Linked DNA regions of Elephas maximus indicus. The protein of the gene in region 1 interacts with the protein of each later gene in a biochemical or structural test. Links are inferred from orthologs where the notes say so. Each region holds a gene or a part of one and is shown in the gene's direction. Other genes may lie near its edges. The genes, in order: JAG1, CD46, NOTCH1 and NOTCH2.

Region 1 (7,539 bases):
CGCTACAATGCTTAATTTCAATATTTTGACATTGTCCACCCTATTCTTGGCACTGTACACAATACCTGGCACATATAGGTCTTCAATAACTATTTTCCCCAACATTTTATAATAAAATTTTCCTAACATATAGAAATTTAAAGAATGTTAGTTAAAACCTGTGTACCCATCAGCTAGATTCTATCATTAATTCCTCACTTTTTGTTTTGGATTCTCTGGGTGGAGGAAATAGTCAAGCACTCTGCTTCTAACAGAAAAGTTGGAGGTTCAAGTCCACCCAGAGGCACCTTGGAAGGAAGCCCTGGTATCTCCTTCTATAAAATCAGCCGCTGAAAACTCCATGACACACAGTGCTGCTGTCACACACAAGGTTGCCACGAGTGGGAACCAACCGGATGGCAACGGGACGGGATTCCTGTTGTAGCGTGTATCTATCCATTTGGCTACCTTCTGTCCATCAACCAATTCCTCTTTTTATTCATTTCAAAGTAAGTTACACATATCATTTCACTTCCTTTTAAATGCTGCGGTAGTCATATAATTAGCTGGAGTTGAATATTTGTTTACATTTTTTTTTCCTTTTCTTTTGAACTTATAATGAAGTGCACGAGTCTTAAGAGTACTATTTAATGAATATTGGTAAATGTGCACACCCATGTAATCCAAACGCCTTTCAAGATATATAAGACATGACCCAACCTAGAAGAGGTCACAAGTCCCTTCCCAGTCAATCACCACCCCACCCCTCTCCAAGCAATCAGTCTTATATTTTTTTCACCATAGATTAGTTTTGCCTGTTCCAGAACTTCATACATGAATTCTTACAGAATGTATTCTTTTGTGTCTGGCTTCTTTCACTCAGCATGGTGTTTTTGAGATCATCCATACTGCTGTGTGTAACAGTATTAATAACTACTGACTCGGGAGGGAGTGATTTCTATCACAGTGTTAACTAGTGCTTTCCGTTAACTACTGTTGTTAGTTTACTGTGGAGTCAAGTTGGACTCATGGTAACCCATGTGTGCAGGGTAGAACAGCTTCATAGGGTTTTCAAGGCTGTGACGCTTCGGAAGCAGATCTCCAGGCCTGTCTTCCAAGGTACCTCTGGGTAGGTTTGAACCACCAAACTTTTGGCTAGTAGTTGAGTGCTTAAGCATTTGTACGACCCAGGGACTCCTGCCCTTAATGAAATGTATTTAAATACAGTTTAAGGCCACCTGAATGCCTCTTACTGAGTCTTTCTGGGGGTCAGGACTACTGTTTGTTGATGACCCAGCAAAGGTGAGGCAAGAAAAATGAGGCATTGTCTTTTTAAAATTAAAGGAAGGTATGATTTGAGAAATACAGGACTGTCTCAGACTACAAGTGTCTCCTCTCTCAGGTATAGTTGTGAAGGCTAAATGAGGCCTTTTTTCACACGAATGATGTTTTGGAATGTTCACATATACTTGGAGGCCAAGGGGGCATCTCTACGTTTGAGTTCTTTCAGCAGTAGTTCCCCCTCTTCCAGGGAAGAGGACTGAGAATCAGCTGTGAGGAAGCACAGGATAGAGCTTCCACTCTGAGTCTGTTGCAGGGAACAAGACTGGCTTTTTGGGGGAGTACCAAGTGCCCCAGCTGAAATTTTTCAAAAGAATCCCCTCTAGCCCACAACTATCTTCTGGAAGGGTGACTTCCCAAGCCGAGGAAGGTTGGGGGACACAGTGCTATTTGGCACGAGAATTTTAGTGATTTGACATCCCTGATAGCACTAAGCAGGTAGTTTCAACTCCTAGGAAATCCACATTGTTTCTTATTACCACTTAAAGGGGCTAAACATACTAATGGACTAGAACCAACTCTGGCTTCTATACAGCCCAGATTGCTACCTGGAGGCACCTGTAATCTCAGGTAGCTCTCCATGGTTAAACCAGGTGTCTGGATCTAAACTCTTCAGCTAATAGCCTGGCTCTATAACCTCCTTCCTAAGGAGGTTCTAAAGCACAGACTACAGGGAATAGAGAATTAACACAAGTTTAGATATGGGGAGCTCAGAGGAGTGTGTATTTTAAGACCACAACAGTGTTCATGAATTATGTTTTTTTTTAACTTTCACTTAGCACCCCAACTCAGGGAGACTAGGAGGGTGGAGATGGAGAGGAGGTGGAAAGGAGATGGGGAGATTGGCTTATATGGAAACAGGTGAGAAAAGTCTAGAAGGAATTATAGTTGACAACCAGATGCCTAGCAATTAGATTAATTAGGGGGGAGGGGTTGCTGGGGCACACTAAGAGAAAGGCTCAGCCTAAGGCAGTGTAATTTGTCAAGGATTTCATTTTACTTGGATCCACAATCAATGTCCATGGAAGCAGCTGTCAAGAAATCAAATGACATATTGCATTTGGCAAATTTGCTGCAAAAGACCTCTTTCAAGTGTTGAAAAGCAAAGATTCACTTTGAGGGCTAACATGCACCTGACCCAAGTATTTTCAATCACCTCATATGCATTCAAAAAGCTGGACAATGAATAAGACCTGAGAATTAACGCAAAAAAAAAAAAAAGATGCATTTGAATTACGGTGCCGGTGAAGAATACTGACTATGCCACGGACTACCAGAAGAATGAAAAAATCTGCTTGGAAGAAGTGCAGTCAGAATGCTCCTTAGAAGTTAGGATGGTACTCTGGACATATTATTAGGAAGGACCGGTACCTGGAGGAGGACACCAGGCTTGGCAGAGGGGCAGCAAAAAAGAGGAAGCCTCATGAGACGGAATGACACAGTGGCTGTAACGATGGGCTCAAGCATAGCAACAATTGTGAGGATGGCACAGGACTGGGCAGCGTTTCCTTCTGTTGTACATAGGGTCGCTATGACTCCGAATTGACTCCATGGCACCTAACAACTAGGCAGCCTATGCCAGCTGTCAAAATTACTGTAAATTAATTCTGCTCTTGGATGTTCCCCTTCCAAAGTAGAATTCTCTCATTGACGGCCATCAGGATGGCACAGATTACCATTGTTAAGAAGGCATCTTTCTTAGGAGTATTTCTTGGGATGTTAAAATACCAAGAGCTCTAAACCATCCTCGGTGGCTTTGAACTGACTTAAAGAGGTCAGTTAGTTGCCATACTTTATTCCTCAGCATGATGAGGTCCGGCACTAAAAACATTTTCTATATTAAGCCTTCCACCAAAGGCAGAAAGGAGGTAATAGCCACACTTTTATGCTCTCTTAACTCAGCATGTTGGGAACTACTTTTTTCACGGCCTATTGCAGCCCAGCATGGCCCCACAGCCGGGAGGGCTTGAACCCCTAAGAGTCATGATTTCTCGCAGGACATACCCAAAATAAGGGCCAAAACATTGTCCACTCTTAAATGGAGGCCTGTCTTTCCCTAAATTGGTCCCCTCAGACCCAGCAGCAAGCCCTCTGGGGGAAGGGCTGGGCGAAGCTTCCGCCAGGCCGCTGGCTTCCTTTGACCTTAGTTAAGACTGGGAGTGTCGCTGTTAATTGTGAGGCTCGCCCAAAGGTGGAAAATAGCATCGATATCCCTTGCCACCATAGAGAAGGCAAGTCCTACTGCTGGGCGAGGCGACGAGACGACCAGCGTCTAGCCACCCAGAGAGCTGCTCGGAGGCCGCCTACAGGTGCAGTCCCGGCACTGCGGCCCGGAGAGGGTCGGCCCCGGGCCGGCGCTGGGAGTGCGGGCAAGCCCCCCGACTCCCTGCCTGCTTCTCCCAAAGCCCCGGCAGGGCCCCGGCGGGCCGCCGCCCTCTCCGCCCGCTTTCCCCGCGCTCTGCCCCTGCGCGGTTTGGAAAGGAAGCCGGGAGCCCTCCGAGGCTTCGCAGACTCGGCTGGAGAGGGCGTGGGGTGGGGTGGGGCGGCCCGAGGCCTCCCCTCGAATCTGCGGGCGAGCCTGGCTCCGGGAAGGTTTTGCAAAGTTCCCAGCAGCGCCGGCCCAGGTCGCCTCCGCGAGGCGAGCAGACGGCGGCAAGCGGGCCAGCCTCGCCGCCGCCGCCGCCATCCCTGCCGCCAACAGACCGCGCCGGGCGGCTCGTTCGCTCGCGGGAAGCGGGCCGGGCTCCCGGCGGGCAGGCCATCCTCCTGGGGCAAAAGCCGCAGCTGACGCAGGCGGGTCGGAAGCGGCCCCGCTCCGACCGCTTCGGCAGCACTGCGGCGCCTACACCTGGGGCCCCGACGGGCGGGCGGCGGCGCCCGGCTCGGGGTGCCAGCGGGGTGGCCACCTGACCCCGTGCGGCCCGGGGCCACCAGCCCATTCCGAGGTTCTCTCCGTGCTCCCTCCCCGGCCGCACCTCCTCAGTCACGCCTGGCCCCCAACTCCAGAGCACGAGGGTCTGCGCGGGGACCCCCGACGTCTACACAGCCCCGCGCCTCCCTCAGCCATTTCCAAGTTCCTCCCCGCGCTCCCCCATCCCGGGCCCCTCCTCTCCATGACCAGGGGAGGGGAGGGGCGTTTCCTGAGTGGGCCCGCCCCCTTATGAATATTAATAAGCGCGCATGCGCCCTACCCGGCGCGCTGGGTAGAGGTGGCCAGCCCGGGTCGCGGCGCCCAGACGGGCTCTCCGGGTCCTTCTCTGAGAGCCGGGCGGGCGCGCGTCATTGTGTTACCTGCCGCCGGCCCGCGAGCTGGGCTGGGTTTTTTTTTTTTTTTTCTTCATTCCCTCCCCCCTTTCCAAGCAGCTAATCTGAAAGGGAATAAAAGGCTGCGCATAATCATAATAATAAAAGAAGGGGAACGCGAGAGAGGGAAAGAAAGCCGGGAGGTGGAAGAGGAGGGGGAGCGCCTCAAAGAAGCGATCAGAATAATAAAAGGAGGCCGGGCTCTTTGCCTTCTGGAACCCGCCGCTCTTGAAAGGGCTTTTGAAAAGTGGTGTTGTTTTCCAGTCGTGCATGCTCCAATCGGCGGAGTATATCAGAGCCGGAGCGCGGCGGCCGCAGGGGCAGCGGCGACGGCAGCACCGGCGGGAACACCAGCGCGAGCAGCGGCGGCGGCGTCCCGAGTGCCCGCGGCGCGCGGCGCAGCGATGCGGTCCCCACGGACGCGCGGCCGGCCTGGGCGCCCCCTGAGCCTCCTGCTCGCTCTGCTCTGTGCCCTGCGAGCCCAGGTAGGAGCCCGCCGGGCCTCCCTCTCCCTTTCCTCGCGGCACCCTGGACGCCCGCGGTGGAGCGGGGCGGCCGCCTCCCGGCCCTCGGGCGCCCGGCTCGCGGGCCCGACCCCTGTGCCCCAGCGGCCGCACCTGGGCTGGGTTGGGCGTGCCTGCTCCCGCTTCGGGCGCTCGGGGTCTCCTAAGCGTGGCCCCTCCAGGCCGGGCTAGGGACATGTCCGTCCTGCTCTGGCCCCGCGCACTTAGTCGTCGGATTTTTTCCGCACTCGTGCGTTTTATGCCCCGGAATCACGTTGAGCCCTTGAACTCCGTTTTGCAGAATTACTTTCACTTGGCGTCCAGGGCTCGTCGGGGCGGGCGGGGAGGGAGTCGCCAGCTCCACCCTGGAAGAAAACAACTTTTCCCCGCGCTGACCTCCCTCCCTCCCTCGCCGGCAGGTGTGCGGGGCCTCCGGCCAGTTCGAGTTGGAAATCCTGTCCATGCAGAACGTGAACGGGGAGCTGCAGAACGGGAACTGCTGCGGCGGCGCCCGAAGCCCGGGGGACCGCAAGTGCACCCGCGACGAATGTGACACGTACTTCAAAGTGTGCCTCAAGGAATACCAGTCCCGCGTCACTGCCGGGGGGCCCTGCAGCTTCGGGTCGGGATCCACGCCTGTCATCGGGGGCAACACCTTCAACCTAAAGGCCAGTCGCGGCAACGACCGCAATCGCATCGTGCTGCCTTTCAGTTTCGCCTGGCCGGTGAGTGACGGACGCAGGGAGGGAGGCCCGACCGAGCCCTGCTTTCTCCTGTGAGGAGCATTTAAAGGGCCTTGGTTGGAAACCCGGCGTTAACTGGGGAGGTCTATGGGGAGTGGAGAATTAGGGAGCCGAGGCTCTGTAGTTAGACCTCCGCAGGACCGGACCAGGCGGGCCCGTTCCCCGCAGCTCTTTGCTAAGCGCGCAAAAAGTGCAGACCTCAGACAGGGTTGCGCAGCAAAACGCCCCGTAAGACCGGCTTAAACTTGCAACTTGAAGGCCCCGGAGTAAACCGTGAGCTAGGAGGTCGTTATAGGTGGTCTCTTTGCTTAACCAATTAAAGCTGGTGCGCGGTGGAAGGAGACTGCGAGCAGCTCTGGCCTTCCAAAAAAAAAAAAAAAAAAACTGTCCAAATTGGCACCCTCTCCTTTTCCGTGAGCCGCCTGGAGGGCGGGTGTGTCCTTCCTGGAGGGTCTGGGGGGAGCCCGTTTCCCGCTTCTCCCCGGGAGTTTCTGGTGCGTGCAGGGGCGAGCTCCCGGGTCGGGCGGCTGCCGCAGGGGAGTCTCGGGGCCCTTGCGGGGGCTGTCGGTTCGGGAGCCCCCGCCCCCTGCCGGCCCCTTCCTGCCCGCGCGCGGTGCAGCCCTTTTGGCCTCACTTCCAGTGGTTCCTGGGCTCTGGAACAGCTGTGTTTGCAAACTTCCCCGGGAAGGGCGGGGTGCGCCCTTGTCGGGCGGGCGTACGCCCCCGCAGGCCTTCGGGGGCGTGCCAAGGGTTGGGAAGGGGTGGCTCACTGGAGGCACTGCTGACGGGCTCGAGTGCACAGACCCTCATCCCCCTCATCCCCCTCCTCCACCCCCAGAGCTGCTTGAGGCCTGGGCCCAGCTGGACTACCCCTCAACAAAGCCCTTGCAACATCCCGAAATGGGTGGAAGGAAGATGGGTGCGATTGCAGAAAGGGAGGAAAGGGAAATGTTGGGGGTGCCCTCTGCCCAGCTCCTGCTGTCCAGGAGGTGTGACTCATTGCCAGAACTGGGGCTCAGCCCAGCACGGCCTGGGGCGGGGGGAGGGGGCTCAGCCGTAGAGGAATGCTCTCGCCACGTGCTCTGATGGGGTGGGTGCCCTCTGCTGCCTCCTACCTGTGGGCTCAGGCTGTGATTCTCAGCTCCTGGAGGGAGAGGAAAGTGTCTGGCTAGGTCTGCCGAAACTTGGGGTGGTTCCAGAAGGCCCACATTTGTAGTTGTTGGCATTGTCATGTCCTCTGCTGTGTGTGAGATAAGACAGTAATCAAAAATAGTCCATTAAACGAGAAAGGGGCTTATAAAGGCCTGTGGTGTGTGGAGTTGTCTGAGATTGGGAGGGGGGGCTGCTTCAGTTGTGGGATTTAACTTTTACAAAGAGTGTTTATCTTGTTTGTTAATCCCCTATTAGGGAGAACTTTTAAGCTAAGGAGGTCGGCCAGTTTTAAATCTGTCTGGGCCCACGTGCAATGGGAATACTGACTGCCCTTGAATGTGTGTTTGGAGTTCAGGGCGAAGGGGCCCTGCAGGTGGTTCCACGAGCAAGAGGATCAGTCCAGAGCCCCTGGCTTTTCACAAGACCATAAAAGGAATCTTATTAATGATGTAGAAAAGCAGCAGGCCTGGCTGAGGTTCATTTCGGAGGGAAGGGTCAGAGGATGGCTTGCGTGAAAA
Region 2 (7,667 bases), on another chromosome or scaffold:
GAACAATGGTGAATCTGTGAAACATTTCATAACATGGAGGAACCTGGAAGGCATTATGCTGAGTGAAACTAGTCAGAGGCAAAAGACAAATATTGTATAAGAGCACTGTTATAAGATCTTGAGAAATAGTTTAAACTAAGAACACATTCTTTTGTGGTTACGAGAGGGGGGAGGGAGGGAGGGTAGGAGAGAGTTATTTACTGATTAGATAGAAGATAAGAAGTACTTTAGGTGAAGGGAAGGACAACACTCAATACAGGGAAAGTCAGCTCAACTGGACTAGACCAAAAGCAAAGGAGTTCCCTGAATAAACTGAATGCTTGGAAGGTCAGTGGAGCAAGGGTGGGGGTTTGGGGACCATGGCTTCAGGGGACATCTAAGTCAACTGGCAAAATAAATTCTATTAAGAAAACATTCTGCATCCCACTTTGAAGTGTGGTGTCTGGGGTCTTAAATGCTAACAAGTGGCCATCTAAGATGCATCAATTAGTCTCAACCCACCTGGATCAAAAGAGAATGAAGAACACCAAGGTCACAAGGTAATTATCAGCCCAAGAGGCAGAAAGGGCCACATGAACTAGAGACTTATGTCATCCTGGGACCAGAAGAACTGGATGGTGCCCGGCCGCAACAGATGACTGCCCTGACAGGGAGCACAACAGAGAACCCCTGAGGGAGCAGGAGATCAGTGGGATGCAGACCCCAAATTCTCATAAAAAGATCAGACTTATTGGTCTGATTAAGGCTAGAAGAATACCAGTGGTCATGGTCCCCAAACCTTCTGTTGGCCCAGGACAGGAACCGTTGCCAAAGACAATTCATCAGACATGGATTGGATTGGACAATGGTTTGGAGAGAGATGCTGATGAGGAGTGAGCTATTTGTATCAGGTGGACACTTGTGACTATGTTGGCATCTCCTGTCTAAAGGGAAGATGGGAGGGTACAGGGGGTTAGAAACTGGCAAAAACGGTCACAAAAGGAGAGACTGGAAGGAGGGAGCGGGCTGACTCATTGGGGGGAGAGTAAGTGGGAGTATATAGTAAGGTGTATATAAGTTTATATGTGACAGACTGACTTGATTTGTAAACTTTCACTTAAAGCACAATAAAAATTATTTTTAAAAATTAGTGTAAGAAATCAAATGTGAAAGTCTTCAATTACCTGAAAAATGGCTTGATGAACTCGAAGCATAGAAAATTTCATTGTCTGAAAGGTTCCTGTAAGATAATATTCTTGAATCTAATTTAGTACCTGAAACTAGGAAACCGAACACTAGCCATTTTTTTTCCTCCTATCTTTTTAATTTTCTCAAGTGAAAAAACTCCTACTTCTAAGCTTCAAAACAGATAGGACTTTTTCTTAAAATTGTACTTCAGATGAAGGTTCACAGAACAAACTAGCTTCTCATTAAACAATTAGTCCACATATTGTTTAGTTACATTGGTTGTCAACACCATGACATGTCAACATTTCTCCCCTCCTCGACCTTGGGTTCCCTATTACTGGCTTTCCTGTCCCCTCCTGCCTTCTAGTCCTTGCCCCTGGGCTGGTGTACCCCTTTAGTCTCCTTTTATTTTGTGGGCCTATCTAATCTTTGGCTGAAGGGTGAACTTCAGGAGTGACTTCAGTACTGAGCTAAAAGGGTGTCTGGGGGCCACACTCTCTGGGTTTCCGCGGTCTTTGCTAGACCAGTAAGTCTGGTCTTTTTTTTTGTGTGTGTGTGTGAGTTAGAATTTTGTTCAACATTTTTCTCCATCTCTGTCTGGGACCCTCCACTGTGATCCCTGTTAGAGCAGTGGGTGGTGGTAGGCAGGCACCATCTAGTAGTGCTAGACTCAGTCTGGTAGAGGCTGTAGTATTTGTGATCCATTAGTCATCTGGGCTAATCTTTCACCTGAGTCTTTGGTTTCCTTCATTCTCCCTTGCTCCAGATGGGGTGAGACCAGCAGAGCCAGATGGGACATTTTTAGTATTTATTGTTGCAGAGAATAATAAACAGATTTTCTGCTTTCACAAATAAGTGCAATATTGAGTCACAGAATGTTTCTGTCATATCACTTTCACAACTGTAAGCATTAACAGAAATGACATTTCCCCATCATTAAGTTTCCTATTCACTGTTTCCTTATTTTAAGTTTACTTCCTTTAAGTATCATCATGGAACGTCAGCATTTTAAAATCCAAGATAGTAAGGTGTTTACTTTGCATACCACCTCTACACTAAGTGTTTTCTATGCTTTGTCAAGAATTCACAAAATTTTCACAGGAAAAGGAAATTCTATGGGTTGGTGAACCCAGAAAATCTTCAGTGCATCTCAGATACAGAGTTATGTTAAATATATATAAACTGTAGTAATTACAGAAGGACCATTCGAGCTTCCTAGAGGGCCTTCATTTCCTCACCATCCTCTCATACCTTATCCCTGTGTAACACAGGTTCCATCCTCATCATTCTGTTAACAAAATATCACTGGGTACATGGGTTAGAGTTTTAAAACTAACCTTTGACCAAATGTAACATAGGATCAATGCGGAAAACTTATAAAACTGAAAGCACAAAGAAAACAAAATATCCATAAGCCTATCAACTACTGTTAATTTTGGTATGTTTCCAACTAGTCTCCTTTTAAGCACATTAATATGGTGCTTTTGTTTTAATAAAATGAACGTCATGATGTACATACTGATATATCAGAGTGATCTTTTACAACACTTGCTACATAGGATTTCATCACATAAAAGTACCTACCATAAATTCTTCAATGGTCTTACTAGACCCTCAGCACTTACATTTTTTCCAAAATTACAAATCTTTGCTCACAGCGCTGATGTTTTGGGATAAGCTAAGTGCTACAGCTGCTAACCAAAGGGTCGGCAGTTCGAATCCGCCAGACTCTCCTTGGAAACTCTATGGGGCGCTTCTACTCTGTCCTATAGGGTCACTATGAGTTGGAATTGACTCGACGGCACTAGGTAAGTGAGACTGTGGTTTAAAAGTCATGTCCATTTTAAGACCTTTAACGTACTGCTAACCTGACCTCCAAAGTTTTGTTTTTCCACTAAAAGTTAGGGAGTGATGCCCCTCCTTGCCCAACACTGGCTGATGTTTTTATACTCTTTTGACCGCTTTTAAAATACCAGTCAGGTTACTTTTATTTATTTACGTTGTCACACAGGCTTACTCGCAGCTCTACTGATAAATCTTACTCATTCTTAATTTTTAGGGGTTGTTGGAGAGATTCTCTCACCAGAAAAGTTCTCCTCCTGATCCACTCCATTTAACCCATCCCATCTCCTAAGGCATTCATTGCTTCTAGGAATTTGGCACTTAAAACACCCTGTCTTTACATTTTTTATGAGTGTACATTTCACCTTCAATAAAACATTCAGCTGCTCAAGAGCAAGAGCTACACAGAATTGAGGTGCAATATGCTAATCGTCCTGTTTCTAAACAATTCACCTTCCCATGGGGTCTCTGAAGGAAGTCCAGGAAGAGCAATTTCCACTCAGGGTTGGGAGTGCAGTGGCCAAACCCTCTTTGTGATTTTGAAAACCAGCAGGTGTTGAGAGGGTTTAGCAGAAGGCACTTCTTAAGCAAGTACGATCCTTAATCATGCCTGATTCATGCCAAATATTGGGTAAAGACGCAAGTAGTCCAGACCACCCGGAGTGCCCCAGGACAATGGGGCTCTGAGGGGTGCTGGTTCCACAGTGTCATGGATTGAATTATGTCCCCTCAAAAACGTGTATATCGACTTGGTTAGGGCCATGATTCCCAGTATTGTGTGATTATTCTCCATTTTGTGATTGTAATTTTATGTTAGAGAGGATTAGGGTGGGATTGTAACACCCTTACCAGGTCACATCCCTGAGCCAATGTAAAGGGAGTTTTCATGGGGTGTGGCCTGCACCACCTTTTATCTCTCAAGAGGTGAAAAGAAAGGGAAGCAAGCAGAGTTGGGGACCTCATACCACCAAAAAAGCAGCACGGAGAGCACAGGGCATCCCTTGGACCTGAGGTTCCCCCTGCTAAGAAGCTCCCAGAGAAGACCCATGACAAGGACCTTCCTCTGGAGCCCAGAGAGAGAGGAATCCTTCCCCAGTAGCCAGCGCCCTGAATTCGGACATGTAGCCTACTGGACTGTGAGAGAATAAACTTCTCTGTTAAAGTCATCCACTTGTGGTATTTCTGTTATAGCAGCACTAGATGACTGAGATACACAGTGACCCACTTCCTGCACCCTTGGTGTCCATTTTTAGCCCAGTGCCTTTTATTCTTCAATGCCCAGTTCCCAGTAAAGGAACAAGTTTCCCGTCCGCCCTTCCTGGGCAGGGCGGTAACCCGGTTCACCCAGCTGTAACGCTGAAGAGCGGATGTAGCAAGAGCAGTCACGCCCCATTCCAGGGGAGCTGGCGGCCACTTTCAAAACCCCTTGGGTTAGTCAGGCCACACCCATCTATTCCGGCCCCTTAGGCGGCCGCCTTCTGCCTGCAAGCCTGGGCACCGAGGCCCCGCCTTCCAGCGCGCCGATTGGCCCCGCCCTCCAGCGCGCCGATTGGCCCCGCCCTCCAGGGCGCCGATTGGCCCCGCCTTCCAGGGCGCCGATTGGCCTCACCTGGCTCCTGTACTACAAGTCACTTCCGCCCGGGGCGTGGTCCGGGCCACGCCCACCTGCTGTTGGGTACTTGTTACTTCGTGAGGCTGAGGATTGTTGCGTCTGATAGCCAGGCTCTGGGGGGTTTCTCTGCCCCGAAGGCTCTCGGGTTTCCGCCGGATCACCGGGAAAATGACAGTGTCTGCCGCGCCGCCCACGGCCCCTGCTTGCCGCCGCGAGAGTCCCTTTACTTCCTGGTGCTCCTTGGGAGCGGTTTTGATGTCTGTAGTGTTCCACCTGCTAATTAAACACACCGGTAAGACCCCGGCGAGGGTGCGCGCGCAGTCCGGAAGGCTGCTGGGCGGGCGAGGAGGCCCGCGCTCGGCTGACCTGGGTCGTGTATCTTATGGTGTAGGGCATGGCAAGGTTCGCCGGGGTCGCGCTGCGCCGGGATTTGGGGGGACCATGAGTTGCATGGCTTGGTTGCAGTACGGAACTGGGCGGTGCGGAGGTGGTGGCCGCCGCAGGTGTTTTTACAGCGGCTGTGCCGTGTTTACGGTGATTTAAATGAACCTTTCTTAGCTGTGGAAACCCTGGTTGCCTAGTGGTTAGGTGCTACGGTTGCTAACCAAAAGGTCCGCAGTTCGAATCCACCGGGCGCTCCTTGGAAACTCTGTGGGGCAGTTCTGCTCTGTCCTGTAGGGTCGCTATGAGTCGGAATCGACTGGACAGCAGTGGGTTTGGTTTTGGGGGGTTTCCTTAGCTGTGCTGTGAGTGCTGGCGGAGAGGCACAGCCGCCGTTGGCTGGAGCCGTGCTGTGCCGCCAGCAAGGGCCAGGGCGGTGTTTCTGGGACTGAGGCTCACCCGGAAGGGGAGCAGATGGCGTGCTTCGGTGAGGGCTTGGTATGAGGTGACTTGGGGTCTCGAGTGTTGCCAAGGTCTCTGCAGTATCCGCGTTGAAGGCTGGGGTGGCGGAGCCCAGGTACGCTTTTGGCGCAGAGTGTACTTTGCGGACGTTGAGGGGGCCCTACTTGGCGGTACCGAGTGTGGAGCCAGGAAACGCTCGTTTTGCTTTGTATGAATGAGTTCGAGCTGTGGGGTTGGGGAGGGTACATTGTGCTTGTTGTGCTTGCGGTCGGAGCAGGCACTAGATGCCAAGGTTTAGGGGGATGGAAAGGGAACTTAGCTTTTTAAACCTTCTGGAAACAGGCTCCTTGCCGGTGACCGTGTTGGTCCACGGCAGAGGAGCGCTCTTCTTTGGCAGATTGCTGCTTGCTCTTCCCCCACCCCCCCGCCCCGAGCCATCTTTCTGCTCCTAAAAAAAAAAAAACCCAATATAAAAAAAAAAAAATTTTTTTTTAAAGCAGTTTCTAATTCTATTACCTAACGGCTTTTGGGCATTGTTTTCCTTCTTTTCATTAGATTGTGCCATATTTGAGGGCATATTTGCAAGCCGTGGTACCTTGGTAGCCAAACCTAGTAAGAAATTAGTGTCCTAAGAAAGAAATGTTAATGTGGCCCCTACAGTTCATAAACTAAAGCAGAGGGTCTATCCCACTAAGCTTGTTTCATATTTTATTGAATGGGATAAGTACTTAAAAAATGGTAAAAAAAAAAAAAAATACGTGTGTGTGTGTTTCTATCGTATGCAACTTGCACAAAGGTCAGCTATTTTTTAATATTTTGGTGTGTTCCTTCTAGTCTGTGCACCTGTGTCTCTATGCCCAGGTTATCTTTAGGATCCGGTTACATGTAGAAGTCTGTAGTAGTGCAAACGGTTAACTGCTCTAGGCTGCTAACTGAAAGGTTGGAGGTTCAAGGTACCGCTCCACTCTCTCCACCCTTATTTGTTTTGTCCACTGTTATAGCCCCAGTGCCAGGCACATAGTGGGCAATCACTAAATATTAGTAGAATTTAAAGGGTGATAGACATTATCCGGAGCCCTGGTAGCGCAGCAGCTGAGAGCTACGGCTGCAAACCAAAAGGTCGGCAGTTTGAATCCACGAGGCACTCCGTGGAAACCCTGTGGGGCAGTTCTGCTCTGTCCTGTAGGGTCACTGTAGGGTCGCTATGAGTCAGAATCAGCTGGATGGCAACGGGTGTGGTTTTTTTTTTTTTGGTAGATATTATCCATAACATCATGCTAACGAATATATTATAAACTAAAAGAAATGCTATGGAAGAAAGGAGCACGATTCTCTATTGCATTTAACAAATGACTGGAAGCAGATTTTCTCCTCAGCACATGGGCCAAGCTCTGCAGCTTTAGGGTGTCTGCACTTGCTGTTCCCTGTGCCTTGGCACACTCTCCCGCCTCTCCAAATAATTAGCTCCTTCTTATCCTGCCAGCTAGCAGGGGTGTTCCCCCTTCAGAGAGGCCTTTTCTGACCACCCTCTCTGAGGTAGACAGACATTCGTCTACCTGCTAACTTTTGATCATCCTGCCAAAACTATCTTTTATGTTCTCTGTCTCTCCCCACAAGATAGACATCTTGTCTTGTCAGACTTAAGGTGCTAAAGGCCCAAATTTTGGTGCAAATAGTTAAGTGCATGACTGCTAACCAAAAGGTTAGTGGTTCAAACCCATGCAGAGGCACCTCGGAAGAAAGGCCTGGCAATCCGCTTCCAAAAGGTTACAGCCTTGAAAACCCTATGGGGCACAGTTCTACTCTGCACACATATGAGGTCACCATGAGGTGGGGTCATCTCCATGGCAACTGGTTTGGTTTTTTTGATTTGTAGCTGTTAAGTACCAGCAAATATATTTGACAGGGGCTTAGAGCCCAGGAAGAAGTTAATTCTTCCTGCTCTCCAGGAGGAAAGTTCTTTAAAGAGCCATGTTTAGGATGGCCTTTCTGTGGTGTGTAAGTAGTACGGCAGGGGCGGCTTAGGGTCAGAAAGTATCTGTCTTCCCTGTTTACGTAGACTTTCCAGAGCTCACAGAACTTCAGTCTCCCTTCTCACTGATCATTAAAAAGTTCATTTTGGTTGGGGGTTCCTTTTCTTCACCATTAAAAAGCAGTGGTGATGAGAAGAAAACAAGGAATTTTTTGAAAAAAAGAATAGTAT
Region 3 (7,140 bases), on another chromosome or scaffold:
CTCAGCAAGAAATGTTTGTGAGACCTGGAGGCAAGAGAAGGGGTTGTGGAGCCTGAGGGGCTCCCCCATCAGGGCCTGGCAAATATGTCCCAGGGCGGGATCTAGTACCTGCAAGCAGGCTGGCCAGGTGCGGGCAGCTGGGTGCACTCTTGGGCCTGGGGGAGAGGGGCTCTGTGATGGGGTGGGGGCAGGGAAGCAAACACTAGAGATCAGCCAGCCCCTTTCCACTCTCAGGCAGGGCTTCCAACAGGTTGCGAACAGTTCTGTAACTGCCAGATCCCGAAAATTTCAGGAGCCTAATGCGGGAGGCTGGATTATTGGCAGGACTGCGGAGAGTGACACACATTCCAAGGAGCGCAGCCAGCCGCCATCTTTGAACAGGGCATCGCTGTTCGTTTCCTCCTGGGTCAAAGTCTGACGGGTCAAAGTCTGGTGGGTCAAAGTCTGACTGGTCAAAGTCTGACGGGCAACAGATTTGGTTGTCTTGCAATGTATACGCTGCCCTCATTTACGTCTGCAGTTACAGAATCATTCCTGACCTGGTCCCAATAAAAAAAAAAAAAATTATTTTATTTATTTTTTTTTATTATAGGAGGGGTGAAATCCTCCGAAGTTGACCGGCCACTTTTGAAATGGAAAAAGGCTTTAGGATCACTCGTTCGATGGGCACTGAGGCCCAGGGTGAGTGATAGCCCGTGGACGGCCAGCAGGGCAGTGGTAGGCCGGAATTTGGAGTCCAGTGCTTGGCTCAGAGCTGACGGACAGGTCTGGTGTAGGCCTGACTGTGGGGTGCAGCACTAGGCAGGAGAACCCCTGGAGCTGGCCACTTCTCAGGCCCCAGGGCTGGAGCTTGGCAAGCAGGTCAGAGATTTTACAGTGAACTTCGAAGGGTGGAGAGGCCTCACCCCTAGGCATTCCGGATCTTCCCACAACTCCCCAGTGGCACCCACCACTCAGATGAGACACATCACTCACCACGAGCCATGCCATACCATGCCACGCCCACAGTCAGTCCATCCTCCAAACTTTGGCCTCCTGACCACCACCCCAGCCTCCTCTTGGCCTGAAGACTCCAAGCCACCCTCCCCACACCAAGCTTCCTTTCCCTGCACCTCTTCCAGGCTGCCGCCCCCATATCATGGGCATGAGCTTGAGGGTGGGGTTCAGGGCAAGGTCCCCAGCACTGCCGCGTACACAGACAGCCCACCGCTTTCTGGGCCCATCTGCCGGGCGCCTGCAGAAGACCAATGCTGGGCCTGCTGCCCCCTAGCCAGTCTCCTAACAGCATCTCTGAACCCCAACTCCCTCACCTGTAAAATGGGGAGTGTCGTGCCCCCCAGGCCTGCAGGGGTCATGGAGGGCACCTGGAACTTCAGGGGAAACTGCTCTCCTGTGATCTCAGATTCCCCTCTGAAGCCTTACCCGCCCTGAGCTGTCTGCACATGCTGAAGGTCATACCGGGTGGCCAGGGTCTCTGTGCCTCACAGAACCGGGGCTGAGTACACAGCAGGCACCGCCTGAGTGTCTGTGGGCTGACTGCTACAAAGAAGGGCCCAGACGCTGGGGCCAGACAGACACCTCTATGTTAACATAGGACCCATCTGTCCTGAAAAGTAGTGGCCATGGCCCTGCAGGCTGGAGCTGGGAGGGCTTCCTTTGGGGGACAGGAATGGGCCAATGTCAGTAGGCCTCCCCAGCCCCTCCCATGAGGATACCCCAATAATGCTGGCACCTGGAGAAGAAGGTGGCCACTGGGCACCCCTGCCCCCCTCTGCAAGCTACCCCTCCAGTCTCCCCCAGACTGGTCCCAGGTTCCCTGGCCAGCTTGGGTGCAGCCCAGGGGTACCCACAACAAGCTGCATCATAGTTGGAGCCCCCATTCAGCTTCTCCAGGTCCCTCCCACACTCTACTGCTGGGATCCCAGGTGCCCCACATACACCCCCCATCATTTCTCCATAGCTCCCCCAAGGCCCACTTCCCAGGGTTACCCCCAGGCTGCTTGCCCCCACTGGAGAAGGTCACAGAAGTCCTAGCCTCACTCTTGCTTGGTCAGGAGCCCCATTCTCCCTGGCCAGGCCAAAGTGGGTAAAAGACAGGAAGGTCAGAAATATTCAGCCTAATTTGTGAATAAAAAAGCTTCTCACCTACTTGCCAGGAGTCAGGCCCACCCGTTCGTTCTCAGGCCTCAGGGGAGGGGAGGTCCCTACCCGGCCCACACCCTCAGCCTCTGCACCTCCAGCTACATTTGGCTTTCCTGGGGTCCCCTTGCTCCTGGCCATTTGTAGGGACCCCAGGTGGTGGAGACCTTAGGCAGCCCAGCTGGGAGGCCAGCTGCACGGTCTGTGGCTCAGTTGCTGTCTGTAAGGTGGGTAATGAGAGGGCCCACTTCCTGCATGGTCGGACCATGGGCATCCAGTGGGCCACAATCTTCCCACTGATGGAGGACAGAGGCTCAGAGTGGACAGGCTATCCTTACAGCTGGACCCAGACCCCCAGACCCCATGCTGTGCTCCCCGTCTCCTCCCCTGGCCTTCCAGCCTGCTCCTGGGTGGATGGGTGTGCAGTGGCTCCCAGAACAGAGCTGGACGGGCCTTCACTTGTGGCCCAGGGAAATTGGTGAGGTCAGATAGAAGGCACAGAGGCAGTGGCACCCTGAGGGGCCAGGCCTGAGGCCCTGAGTCGGGCCAGAGGCAGAGGGGCCTGGGGGTGAGATGCCCCCGGAGTCCCAGGTCTGTAAATGGGGTGGGGACTGCACCCCTCTCTTCCTTTTAGGGGAAAGCCTGCTCCTCCAGGCTGCCGGCTGCTCTTACATAAACATATCCACTACTTGGAGGCGCCTCCTTGGGGCACTGACCTCGAGAAGTTACCCAAGGTTCCAAGGAGGGCCGCCAGCTTCTGGGAGGAGGCGCCCGGGGGCTTCCAGCAGCCAAGGGCCTCCAGCAGCCGAGGGGCTGGACTGGCAGGGTCTCCCTGCGGTGGCTGCGCAGCAACAGGTGGGCCAAGACAGGCAGGAAGCGGGCTTGGCCATGTGGGAGTCTGCCCACCTCCCTAAGCAGGGCTGCCTCCTTTCCTCCAGAAGCCTGGGGACCCCAGCAGTCCTGTGGGTGTTCCCATCCCCAACACCCTTCCCCACTAGGTCTCTCAGCCTTTACCCCTCAGCTGGCATCGCCTACTCCAGGACGCGCAGCTCGGTGGGTGCACCTCCTGCCCTTGGGCTCACTGCCCTGATGCAGGATGGGGTGCCTGTCCCTGGGGCTAGTCCGTCTACCTTTGGTGGACAGGGACTGTGGCAGTCATTCTGGGCGCCCAGCGCTTAGCCGGCTTGGCACAGGGCACCCTATTGGGGCATCGCGCAGAGAAACACATCGCCCAGGCAGAGCACGTGTAGGCCAGCCCGGAGGCCGCGCCAGGGCTGGCTCTCCAGGGCCCACGGGTGGTTGGCGCCAGGGGCAGGCAGTAATGAGGAGCGTCCACCGTGGGGCCCTCCGGGGGAGCCGCTGAGCGCCCCCCTCGCGAGACGGTGGCTGCGGGCCTCCCCTCGGGGTGCCCGACTCCATTCCCCAGAGGCTGAACCGTGGCGCCATGGTCCTCAGGGCCAAGCGCTGCGGCCGTCCCGGTGGGAGTCAGGCCTGGGCTCTCGGGCCGGAGCAGGGCCCTGGGAGTGGAGCCCCGCCCGGGCCGGGATCCCCAAGCTCGGCCTCGGCGGATCAGCCCAGCCTCCCGGCCCCTGCCCCGCCGGCACGGTTCCGGGGCCTCTCATTTCCCCACTCCGCCGCTCCTCCTCAGCCATTGAGATGCAAATTGTCCCCAATTGTCGCCGAGGCGGCAGCGGCCGAGACGGATCCTTCCGCAATGCGTCCCAAAGTTTTGGCCTCGGAAACTTCGAACCAACAAGTAGTGCCTGCCCTGGCCCACCCTCCCGAGCGCGGCCCCGGTCCCGAGCGCCTGGCCTGGCAGCGCGTTCCCACCGAGGGGCGCATCCCGGGGTGCACAGCCGAGGGGCGCAGCCGGCCGGGAATCGGGGTTCAGACGGATCGCGGATGGGGTGTGAGGGGCGGGGCTTCACGGTGGGGCGGGGCCGCCCGGCGGGGCGGGGCGGGGCCCGGCGGGGCGGAACACAAGGCGGCCCAGCGCCTCACTAGTGCCTCGGCCTGCGGGAGGGAGCGCAAGGCGCGGGGCGAGCGCTGGGTACCAATCGCAAGCGGAGCCGGTGCCGGAGCCCGCGAGAGCCAGCGCCGCCCGCCCGCCCCCGGGAAGCAGAGGGCGGAGCGGGACCCCCGGCGCGAGTGCGCCCAGCCAGCCGCCCAGCCAGCGGAGCGCCGCGGGGAAGCAGGCATGCCGCCGCTCCTGGCGCCGCTGCTCTGCCTGGTGCTGCTGCCGGCGTTCCCCGCTGCACGAGGTAGGCGCCGCCCCGCGAGCCCGCAACTTTCCGCGCCCCTCTCCAACTTTGGCGGCGCTGCGCGCGCGCCCCGGGGGCCTCGGGCGGGGCGAGGAGACCGGGAGTCCCGGGCCAGGACTGGGACACCCCCACCCCCAAGGCAGGGCGGACTCGCGCTGCCCGGCGCCGGGGCCGCATCAAGAGCTGGGCGCGGGGCGCCGGTCCCGGGGTCTGGGGCCCCGCCGCCAAGCTCGCCTTCCCCGGCCACGCGTGGGCTTGCCGCGTGGCGCGCGGACTGCCTACCACTTTTCGATTTGAATCTAGTGGGTTTTGGTTTCCTGTTGCTTCTCGGAGCCATTAGTCTTGTTTCTGCGCATTGGGCCCGCGCCGGGGGCGGATGTTGGGGCGCGGAGCGTGGGGTCCCGGCTCTGTGTTCCCCTTGGCCAGCCCTCGCGGCCGGGGCCGGCAAGGCGCCGTGGGAAGCGGGGTCCGGGCCGACCGGCCTCCTTGGCCTTCAGGAAGGTTCGCGCGGGCTGGCGCGTGGAGCGGCTCCGGTCCCCGACCCCCGCGGACTTCCCCTCCCCGGGCGGGATCGCCGGCCGCCAGCCCGGCTCACAGCCTTTCTTTGGGGGGGGGTGCGGATCCCGGATTACAGACTTTTTGGGGGAGTGCGGAAGACTCGCCTTGGTGGGACCGAGTTTCGCTTTGCTCCGCGGAGTTCAAGTTTGGCGATCTTGGGGGGGGTGGAGAGAGACGTGGGAGGGAGCGCGGTTCCTGGCCCGATTCCCATCCCGAGGGTCTCCGGGCAATCTGGTGATTAATTCCTGTCTTCCCAAAAAGTTGGTGGTGAGAATTTTTCCCCCTTTCAGAAAGTCGAGTCCCTGTCACAGCGCCCTCCCCCCGCCCCCCGACGGCTTCACTTGTCCGGCGGGTGAGAGGGAAGGGCGGGGCCTCGTTTATGGACCGGTTCTCGGGAAGGGGGTCGCATTCCTTCCCAGCGGGGCTCCCCACCCTCCCATGGGTGTGGTGGGGCTGCCCCTGGAGATGGCCCCGCGGGAGCAGGTATTGGGTGTCCGCAGGGGCGGGGCGGCCAGGACGCAGGAGGCGGCCGGCGCGACAATGGCCCGCTCTGATTCCGCGACGGCGCTCTGTTGGCGGGCGGGGCGGCGGGCCACGCAGCTGTCGCATTTTCCCACGAGCGGGGAGCCGAGTGTGGCGGCCCCGACCCTCCCGCCGCCACCACGTCCCGGCAGCGTGTTTAAACATCAAGACAGCCTCAGTGGCTGGGTGGGGGCCCTAGCCCCCAGCCCCGTGTGGCTCTCTGAAGAAAACTGGGGAGGTGGGGGTGTAAAGTTGGGAGAGTGGCGCCGGGAGACATCACTTTTCTCCGCTGCTGCCAGGGGGCATATCAGTCACTCCCCACTTTGAGCACTGCCTGTCCACCTGCCAGCCCACCCCGCCCCCATTTCTGACTGGAACTTTGAAGTCTTTCGGGGTTCATTCTGGGGCTTCCCGGTGCCCCCTGCCCCTGCAACCCCAGGACTCTGAGTGAAGGGCCCCCGAGGTGAGGTCTGATGGCGGCACTTAGTCCGGAGCTGGTGACAGAGGCTAGGTTTCTGTCCTCAGAGATGGGCCGTTCCAGAAGCCGAGGCTCTGCTGACCCTCTTGTCTCTCCCCCGGCCCCCCCAGGCCTGCGATGTTCCCAGACTGGTGAGGAGACCTGCTTGAATGGCGGGAAGTGTGAAGTGTTTGCCAATGGCACGGAGGCCTGTCTGTGAGTATGCGCGCCCCCACGGGGACCTGTTGCTTTATGGGAGCGGGAGTCCCTGCCTTCTGCGGCAGCCGGGGACAGAACACTAGGCCATTGTCTGGTGGAGATGGCCCAGAAGGCTGGGCACGTCACGTGCTGACTTTTATTGGACAAAGTCTGGCAATTACTTAATCACCCGCAATTAGGCTGCGCGTGAGCTGGCCAGGCCTCGGAGGGAGGGTCCTGGGCTCCCTCTTCGTGGCCACCTCGGCCTACTGGGCCCTAGGTGGGTATCCTGGCAGCCCATTTCTCCCTGAAGTCCCTGAGAAACGGCTGACCTGTCAAGGGGTCAGGACTTCCACTGCCACCTGGGGAGCATCTCTTCTGGGCAGGTTGAGCACCTGTGGGCAGGTGAGCCTCTCAGAAAGAAATTGACTGTTTCAAAACAAAACCTAACTCTCTAGGCCTGGGCCTTCCCCAGCCCATTGCGCCAAGGCCTCAGGGTGAAACTGGGGAGAGAAGCCTGAACCGGCCCCGCCCATCTCTATGGGTGGGGGTGTCTATCGGGAAGCCTGGTTTCTCTCTTGGCTCTGCAAACTCCCAGCCTCATGAGCGCCATCCACGGCCCTTGGCTTAGCTGGAGAGTGGGCACAGGGGGGCTGAGAGATCTGTTTGGAGTGCCAGTCTGCCTCGGGACGTTTTCACTGCTCCCCGATGTCCTTCAACTTGAGTTTGCCCCTGATGGGAATACTGAGGAGGCCCTGGGGAGCCGTCCACTCCGCCTCCCGGTCTGCCCCCGGCGCGCCCTCATTCCAACCGTTGATGGGCCCATTCCCCTGACAACCCGGCCCACTGCACCACCGGCTGGCCTGCCCACCAGCAGCCCCCGGGCCCCCGCCCACCAACTGAAGCCAATTACGAAGGTCTGTGAGCAGTTTAATGGACAGAGCGGAATGTTCCTTTGTCAGATGCTAATGAATGCATGCTACTTTTTTTTTTTTGCTTTTTGGG
Region 4 (6,990 bases), on another chromosome or scaffold:
TTATTGCCAATTTATGTCTATGCCCAAACAAACAACCCATTGCCGTTGAGTTGATTCTGACTCATAGCGACCCTACAGGACAGAGTAGAACTGCCCCATAGGGTTTCCAAGGAGCGGCTGGTGAATTTGAACTGCCAACCTTTTGGTTAATAGCCGAGCTCTTAACCACTGGCCTCCTTCAAAACCTTTCAAAGCACCTCTTCAGTCAAAACCTTCTACTTCCATTTATAACGTTTACTCTTTATTCCTCTTGCCCTTGTGGGAACATATGTAATAAGTTTGACATTATAAATATCCAACATAAGTCATATGTGAAAATAATAGTTGCTTTCTTTAAAATAGTCACCTTGAGAAATTGCATACCTGTTTTAACAATGTTGTCATAGCCATGGCCATTTCAGGAGCTGCTCTTTGGAAATGACTACCTTCAAAGTACATTCTTCTGAATATATTTTAATAGTGACATATTCAATCTTTTTAGGTAATTATAAAAAATTGTGTATAGCCAAGTCATACAGCTATACTTAGGAAATAATGAGGATGGTCATGCTGGGAAATACTGATTTGGGTCAACAACTAAAAATTAATGTTATTATCTTTCTCTGAACACAAATGCACAAAAGAAATTCCAAAATTATTTTGACTACGTTATTTTTGAAAAGAGTTTCTAGCATCTCAAAAGTGACTACTTTTAATAATAGTACTTGATTATCTGTGATAAAGTGGTTATTAAAAAACAGTTTGGAATTTCATAGGCCTATTGCTCATACTGATTTGCACTTGTTCAGCATTGTTTTCCATTCTTAATTCAACATCCATTATGTGATAGACCCTGGGGATACAGAGATGAATAAAGCCTTGATCCTTGCCCATTTTGTTGTTGTTAGGTGCTGTCGAGTCAGTTCCAACTCATAGCGAACCTATGTACAACAGGACGGACCACTGCCCGGTCTTGCGTCATCCTCACAATCATTATGCTTGAGCCCATTGTTGCAGCCACTATCAATCCATCTCACTGAGGGCCATCCTCTTTTCTGCTGACCCTCTACTTTATCAAGCATGATGTCCTTCTCCAGGGACTCCTTGCCTGTAAAGACCTTCTAATCTGGTTGAGAAGACAGACACATAAGCAGTCCTGTGAGAAAAATAGATTTCGGCACAAGAGAAAACAGCAGTATAGAGGAGGCCCTGTCTGTGAGGGGTAGAAATTTGTTATAGTGTAGGCAAAGCCTGCTGGGGACTGAAGAATGGTGATGGTCAGTTCACCAAGTGGGGCAGGGACGGAGGCTCCAAGAGTCATTCTAAGCCAAGGGAACAGAAAACAGAGATTTAAACAGCAAGGTTCAGGCCTTGGGTGGTCTGTTTCTCTTTGCCATCTACTCTCATTTCCTTTTAATTTTCCAGAAGTTGCCTCTCCTAATTTTTTAATGTTAATGTGGTAAAATTTATATTACAAAGCCTTTGCCATTTTAACAATTTTTAAGTGTACAATTCAGTGACATTAATTACATTCATCATGTGCAATCATCACCACTATCCATTTCCAAAACTTTTCATTACACCAGAAAGAAACCATGCCCAAAAAGCTATCACTCCCCACTCCTCCCTCCACTGAGTCCCTGGTAACCATTCCTTTTTTCTCTACGTGTTTGCTTACTCTATATTTCATATAAGCGGGTTCATATATGTTCTTTTGTGCCTGACATTTCACTTAGTATAATGTTTTCAAGGTTCATTCATGTTTTAGCATGGATCGCAACTTCATTTCTTTTGTATGTACTGCATTTTGTTTATCCATTCATCTGTTCATGGACATTTGGGGAGTCTCAAGTTGTTCAATATATATTGTTGTTGTGTAAAGTTCAAGGGGCAGGGGGCAGGGATGAGAGGAGATGAGGCTGGAGACCAGGCAGGAGTACAACGACGGAAAGGCCTTTTTAAAAGTTTGGACTTTATCTTATAGGAACCAGGGAGAGGCTTTATGGATAGGATTTCCCATCCCAACTAGACTGTAAACTCCCACATTGAGTTAGTCCCATAAGTTTGCCCCCCTTCCCTTTATTTCATATTGCCTCAGATCTGGCAGAATCAACTCGACTGCAGTGGGTGTGTCAAATCCATCCTTTCTCTCCCATGGTGATTTCCACCTCATTAATTTAGGCCTTCATCACCCCATGCCTGGGTTTTTTTTTTGTTTGTTTGTTTTTTTTTTTTTAGTATTCTTCTAATTTTTTTAAATTAAGTTTTGTTGTGCTTCAAGTGAAAGTTTACAAATCAGGTTAGTCTCTCATACAAAAATTTACATACACCTTGCTATACACTCTGAATTGCTCTCTGTCTGATGAGATAGCACAGTCCTTCCCTCCACTCTCTCTCCTTGTGTCCATTTGGGCAGCTTCTGGCCCCCTGTGCCCTCTCATCTCCCCTCCAGACAGGAGATGCCAACATAGTATCATGTGTCCACTTGTTCCAAGAAGCTTGTTCTTCACCAGTCTCATTTTCCATCCCCTATTCCAGTCTAATCCCTGTCTGAAGAGTTGGTTTTGGGAATGGTTCCTGCCTTGGGGCAACAGAAGGTCTGGGGTCCATGGCCTCCGGGGTTCCTCCAGTCCCAGTCATGCCTGAATTTTTTCACAAACTCCTGAGTGGTCCTTGGGCTCGAGTTTACCTCTGTCTCCAAACAATCAATTTTGCACGGGATATCAGAGCAACCTTCCTTTCCATCAAGTCTCACCCTGTTCAAGAACTGTCAGTGGTTTTCTATGGCCCTGCATAATCTGGTCCCAACCTGCCCTTTCCTCCTTGACTCCCCGCACTACTAGCAATGCTGGAACTATCTACTTATTCCCTTGTCTGCGTCTTTGCTTTTAGGGTGGCTCTCCCCTGGAATGCTGCTCTCCCTGTACAACTTTTTGGTTAATTCCATATGAGTCAGAATTGACTCGACAGCAACAGATTTGGTTTTTTTTAGTCTTACATATGATGACCCAGGCCTGATCACACCCCCCACTCTTCTGCCCTGGAAGTGGCCACCATTCTGGTTAGATCCTTTTACTATATACATATGCATCCATAAACAATATATAGCAATGTTTTGAAAAAAGTTTACTTGTATATGAAGGGTATTATACTTTGTCACCTCTGCAATTAGTTTTTTCCACTATCATTTTGTTTTTAAGATTTATCCCTGTTGACATATATGAATACAGTCTTTCCAACTACTGTATTGTATTTCATTTTATAAATATAAATATGGTAATACATTATTCATCCATTCCTCTATTGGTGGGCCTTTAGTTTGTTTCCAATTTTTGGCTATTACAATGTTGCAATGAGTATTCTTAGCTTGTGTTCTTATACAAATTTTACTAACCTTTCAAGATCCTGCTCCCTTCCCACCTCCTCCATAAAACCCTTCCCTGGACCCTCCAGCCCACAGTAGTCTCTCTCCTCAGAACTCAGAGTAGCTTGTACATCACGAGCCTTTGCTATCATTCCATTGTGCCTAGCACACTGCTTCACAAAGTAAGGCGCTTAAAACATATTTGCTGAATGAATGAATAGTGCAACACAACTCAGTTGATGGTTCTGTTCATTTAAAATGGACTTTGGCGCCCTAGCCCCCATTTCCTTCTTTGACAGCACTGGTCCCTCTCTACCGCATCCCTTTAGCTAGCAGGGGGTGTATGGATGTGTGAGTGTGTGGGGGTGATACCTGTCTCACTGGATGAGGTCTGTCTCTCCCTGCAAGTTCACGGTCCAGGCAGCCTTAGTGTTTGAAGTTCAGAGTCCTAACGTCCACCCCCTTCAGAAGTGTGCGGCTCCAGCGTCGATTGAGTTAAGGCGCATCGGGACCCGGGTTGAGGGGAGATGGGTGTGTGGGGGGTGGGAGGGGGTCTAACAAGTCGTAGTAGATCCCTCCGCGTGGAGCTTTGACCGGCGCTTCTTCCTGCGGGAAACCCCTGGGTGCCGAAGGCGGCGGGCCGAGGCCCCGGCGACAGGGGGGCGGGGCTTTGCGGTGGGAGGAGGCGGCCGAGGCGGAAGGACACACGAGGTTGCTTCGCTGCACACCCGAGAAAGTTTCAGCCAAACTTCGGGCGGCGACTGAGGCGGCGGCCGGGGAGCGGCGACTTCGGGTGCAGGGAGTCGAGGCATTTAAGCCTGAGCTTCAGGGCGCCGCGCGAGGCTGTGAACCGCAGAAGCAGTAGGAGGGAAGGAGAAAGTGGGGGCTCCTGTGTAGGGACCCCCTCCCCATGTGGATCTGCCCAGGCGGCGGCGGCGGCGGAGGAGGCGACGGAGAAGATGCCTGCCCTGCGCCCCGCTCGGCTGTGGGCGCTGCTGGCGCTCTGGCTGTGCCGCACCGCCCCCGCGCATGGTGAGTATAGGGCTGGGGGGTGCTGTCCCCTGAGCCGGGGCCGCGCACCGCCGCCCCCGCCGCGGCCGGGGCCACCTGGGGCGACCCTTCCTCTCTACTCTTGTCCTCCCGCTGCGCGCAGGACAAGGCCGGGGCTTCGCCACCGGAGCGGAGTGGGGCCACTTGGTTCCCGAAAGTTTGGACATCATCGGGGGGCCCCCTTTCCAGGCGCCCTCTCCCCTGCGCTCTCCTCTGCCTCCTGCTCCCCTCGGCCCATTGCCCCACACACGCCTCCTCTGCCAGAGGGAGCCGGGCAGCAAAGTCTTAGAAATTCTCATTTTCCAGTCCTGAAGTTCGGGGAGTTGGGCAGTTTTGCCTTTTTGGTTCCGCGTTTGCTGAGGTCGGGGTAGAGGCGAGGCAGAGCCACCGAGGCGAACCCTCGCCCGCAGCGGACCACAGTTGGGCTAAGCCAAGGAATGCCAGATTCCGGCGTGGAGAGAGCGGGGGCAGGGCCGCCAAGCCCAACGGCTTGCACCTTCACAGTCAGACAGAGTTTTGCCAAAGGCAGGCACACAGTCTGGGTGGATGAGTGGGTTTTTGGGTGGGGACAGGATTTTGCAGTGCGCCGGAGTTTTGACACTCCAACCGGATGGTCCCGATGAGTCGGGTGTGTTTTGCTGGCGTCTTTGAAAGGTGGTGGCAGGAGCAGTAGAGAAACTGGTGTGGCCGCATGCTGAGCCACATGATTTAAAAATCTCAACTGCTGTTATTCTTTCCGAGGCGCGGAGCTCGGGCGCTGTTTCAGTCTGTGTCCAGCCCCAGGAATGTGGTGTGACGATCACCAACTCCGCCAACCTGGCAGCAACATTTTACTGTTCTTTTGCCTTGGGGTGGGGGGAGGGCGCAGGAGCGGGTGAGGAAAAGTGGATACGTTGATTCAAAATGCTTCCTTAGAAAGCCTCTTTATGGTTGGATATTTGCAGCAGCCTTTTCGAATACAGTTGGACCAAGGAAAGGAAATTGAATCATATTTTAATCATCCCACTGCACTCTGAGATTCTAAATTTCTTCAGGCTGTTCAGTGGAGAGTTTGGGCTTTGGAACCCTGCTCACTCTCTAATCCTGGGTTCAAATTTGGTTCTGCTGTATGAGCTCACCAGTAAGATGGAAATGAAATTACCCAGCTAAAAGGATTAATTAAGATAAGTAAATTAAACCCATGGTACTCAAAAGTTGTTCGGAGAGCACGTTCAGAGAATGGGCTGTGTTTTATTTTTTCTGTACTCCCTGTCGTCTCACTCCTTGTAGTAGGATGTGTGTTGGGTATGTTTATTGAATGGAAAGGGACCCCTCTTTCCTGAGTGTAATCTAAGAAAGATCTTACCTTTATTTGTATATGTATGTGTGTATATATATATACACACACGGATATATATGTGTGTACGTATATGTATACACACACACACATACACACAACACATGCACACATAAACAAAAACACCATGCTACATGAGCTTGGTCTCTTTCAAAGAAAAAGTTATGATGAGTTTCAGGAAAAGTTGGTCTTTGTTCATTGTCAGCAGGCAGTGGATGTTCCTGTCACAGATGCTTAAAAGAGAACAAGCTATTTATCACCTGAAAAACGTAGTACTGGGTTATTCAGCACCAGACACTTCTTGGAAGTTCAAGTTCCATACACCTCGAAGTCTCAGAGAATTTCAAAAGTGGACCAGGAGGTTGTGTGATGATGAACCATGATTGTAGTTTCTAAAGCATTTAATTAAAAAAAAAAAATATGATGGTATTTTTGTCTTTCCTTTTGTCCTTGAGTGAAAGGATTAGTGTAAGTGTAGATTTAGGATAGAGAGGAGTGGGAATAATGGGCTAGTCTGAGGGTTACATTCCTGGTCTACCATTAACTTGTTTTAGTAAGTAATCTTCACCTATGAAATGGGACCAAAGGAATAACCTACCTCTGAGATTTATAGGGAATAACAAATAGGACTGTAAAATGATTTGCAAAATTAAGTGTTAAGTTATAAGACTGATGTCAGGAATACAATGACCATGACACATAGGGCGTGTCTCATCTAGGGCCTCAGTGCCTTGAACTGTATCCTCCTTTATGCATTTGTACTGGGAATGTCTTGCTATTCTTAGCTTTTAGGTGGATAAATTGAGTGTTAGTCAAGTTAGCTCAAAGGACAAGATTTAGACATTTTGATTTTTAGACAGGTGTTTTTCAGGTGCTAAACTACTGCAATGGAAGAGGTTAAAGCTGGTTACTTAGTACAAAATCTTAAATCTCAGATTCTAACAGCGAAGGCTTCTTGGATCTTCTTAATCTGTTGTCATTGTGTTTTATCAAGGTACCAATTATAACACACCCTTCCAACCTTTTGAGGGTTCCTGAATTTGGCTTGTAGCCAATTGTTAATTTAAACATCACTGAGTTCTTAACCCAAGGAGCTGTCAACCCATCTGTCTGATTGTCTAAACAATTATCCAGGACCACCAGTTGCTCCTTGTTTTCTTCTGCTTTGCAATGGGAAGTGACTGCCTGGCTTAGCTGCCTGCTGGATAATTTCTCAGCTGAATTCTTACTTTTTAAAAAAAGTTACAAAGAGCAACTTTTT

What was found.
Region 2: the proteins of JAG1 (region 1) and CD46 form a complex in vitro, tested with the Homo sapiens proteins (2 studies listed by IntAct, with this or other methods). The link is inferred for Elephas maximus indicus from reciprocal best matches to the Homo sapiens genes JAG1 and CD46.
Region 3: the proteins of JAG1 (region 1) and NOTCH1 form a complex in vitro, tested with the Homo sapiens proteins (3 studies listed by BioGRID and IntAct, with this or other methods). The link is inferred for Elephas maximus indicus from reciprocal best matches to the Homo sapiens genes JAG1 and NOTCH1.
Region 4: the proteins of JAG1 (region 1) and NOTCH2 form a complex in vitro, tested with the Homo sapiens proteins (2 studies listed by BioGRID). The link is inferred for Elephas maximus indicus from reciprocal best matches to the Homo sapiens genes JAG1 and NOTCH2.

Annotation. Positions count from the first base shown.
Region 1 is NC_064843.1:49,503,961-49,511,499, reverse strand, and holds the start of JAG1 (protein jagged-1), read left to right. Parts: upstream 1-4,538; 5' UTR 4,539-5,027; coding exon 5,028-5,108; intron 5,109-5,545; coding exon 5,546-5,851; intron 5,852-7,539. UniProt on the Homo sapiens protein: Ligand for multiple Notch receptors and involved in the mediation of Notch signaling. May be involved in cell-fate decisions during hematopoiesis. Seems to be involved in early and late stages of mammalian cardiovascular development.
Region 2 is NC_064836.1:17,662,264-17,669,930, forward strand, and holds the start of CD46 (membrane cofactor protein), read left to right. Parts: upstream 1-4,653; 5' UTR 4,654-4,789; coding exon 4,790-4,913; intron 4,914-7,667. UniProt on the Homo sapiens protein: Acts as a cofactor for complement factor I, a serine protease which protects autologous cells against complement-mediated injury by cleaving C3b and C4b deposited on host tissue.
Region 3 is NC_064827.1:3,026,906-3,034,045, reverse strand, and holds the start of NOTCH1 (neurogenic locus notch homolog protein 1), read left to right. Parts: upstream 1-4,135; 5' UTR 4,136-4,336; coding exon 4,337-4,400; intron 4,401-6,068; coding exon 6,069-6,153; intron 6,154-7,140. UniProt on the Homo sapiens protein: Functions as a receptor for membrane-bound ligands Jagged-1 (JAG1), Jagged-2 (JAG2) and Delta-1 (DLL1) to regulate cell-fate determination.
Region 4 is NC_064821.1:159,337,396-159,344,385, reverse strand, and holds the start of NOTCH2 (neurogenic locus notch homolog protein 2), read left to right. Parts: upstream 1-3,981; 5' UTR 3,982-4,302; coding exon 4,303-4,375; intron 4,376-6,990. UniProt on the Homo sapiens protein: Functions as a receptor for membrane-bound ligands Jagged-1 (JAG1), Jagged-2 (JAG2) and Delta-1 (DLL1) to regulate cell-fate determination.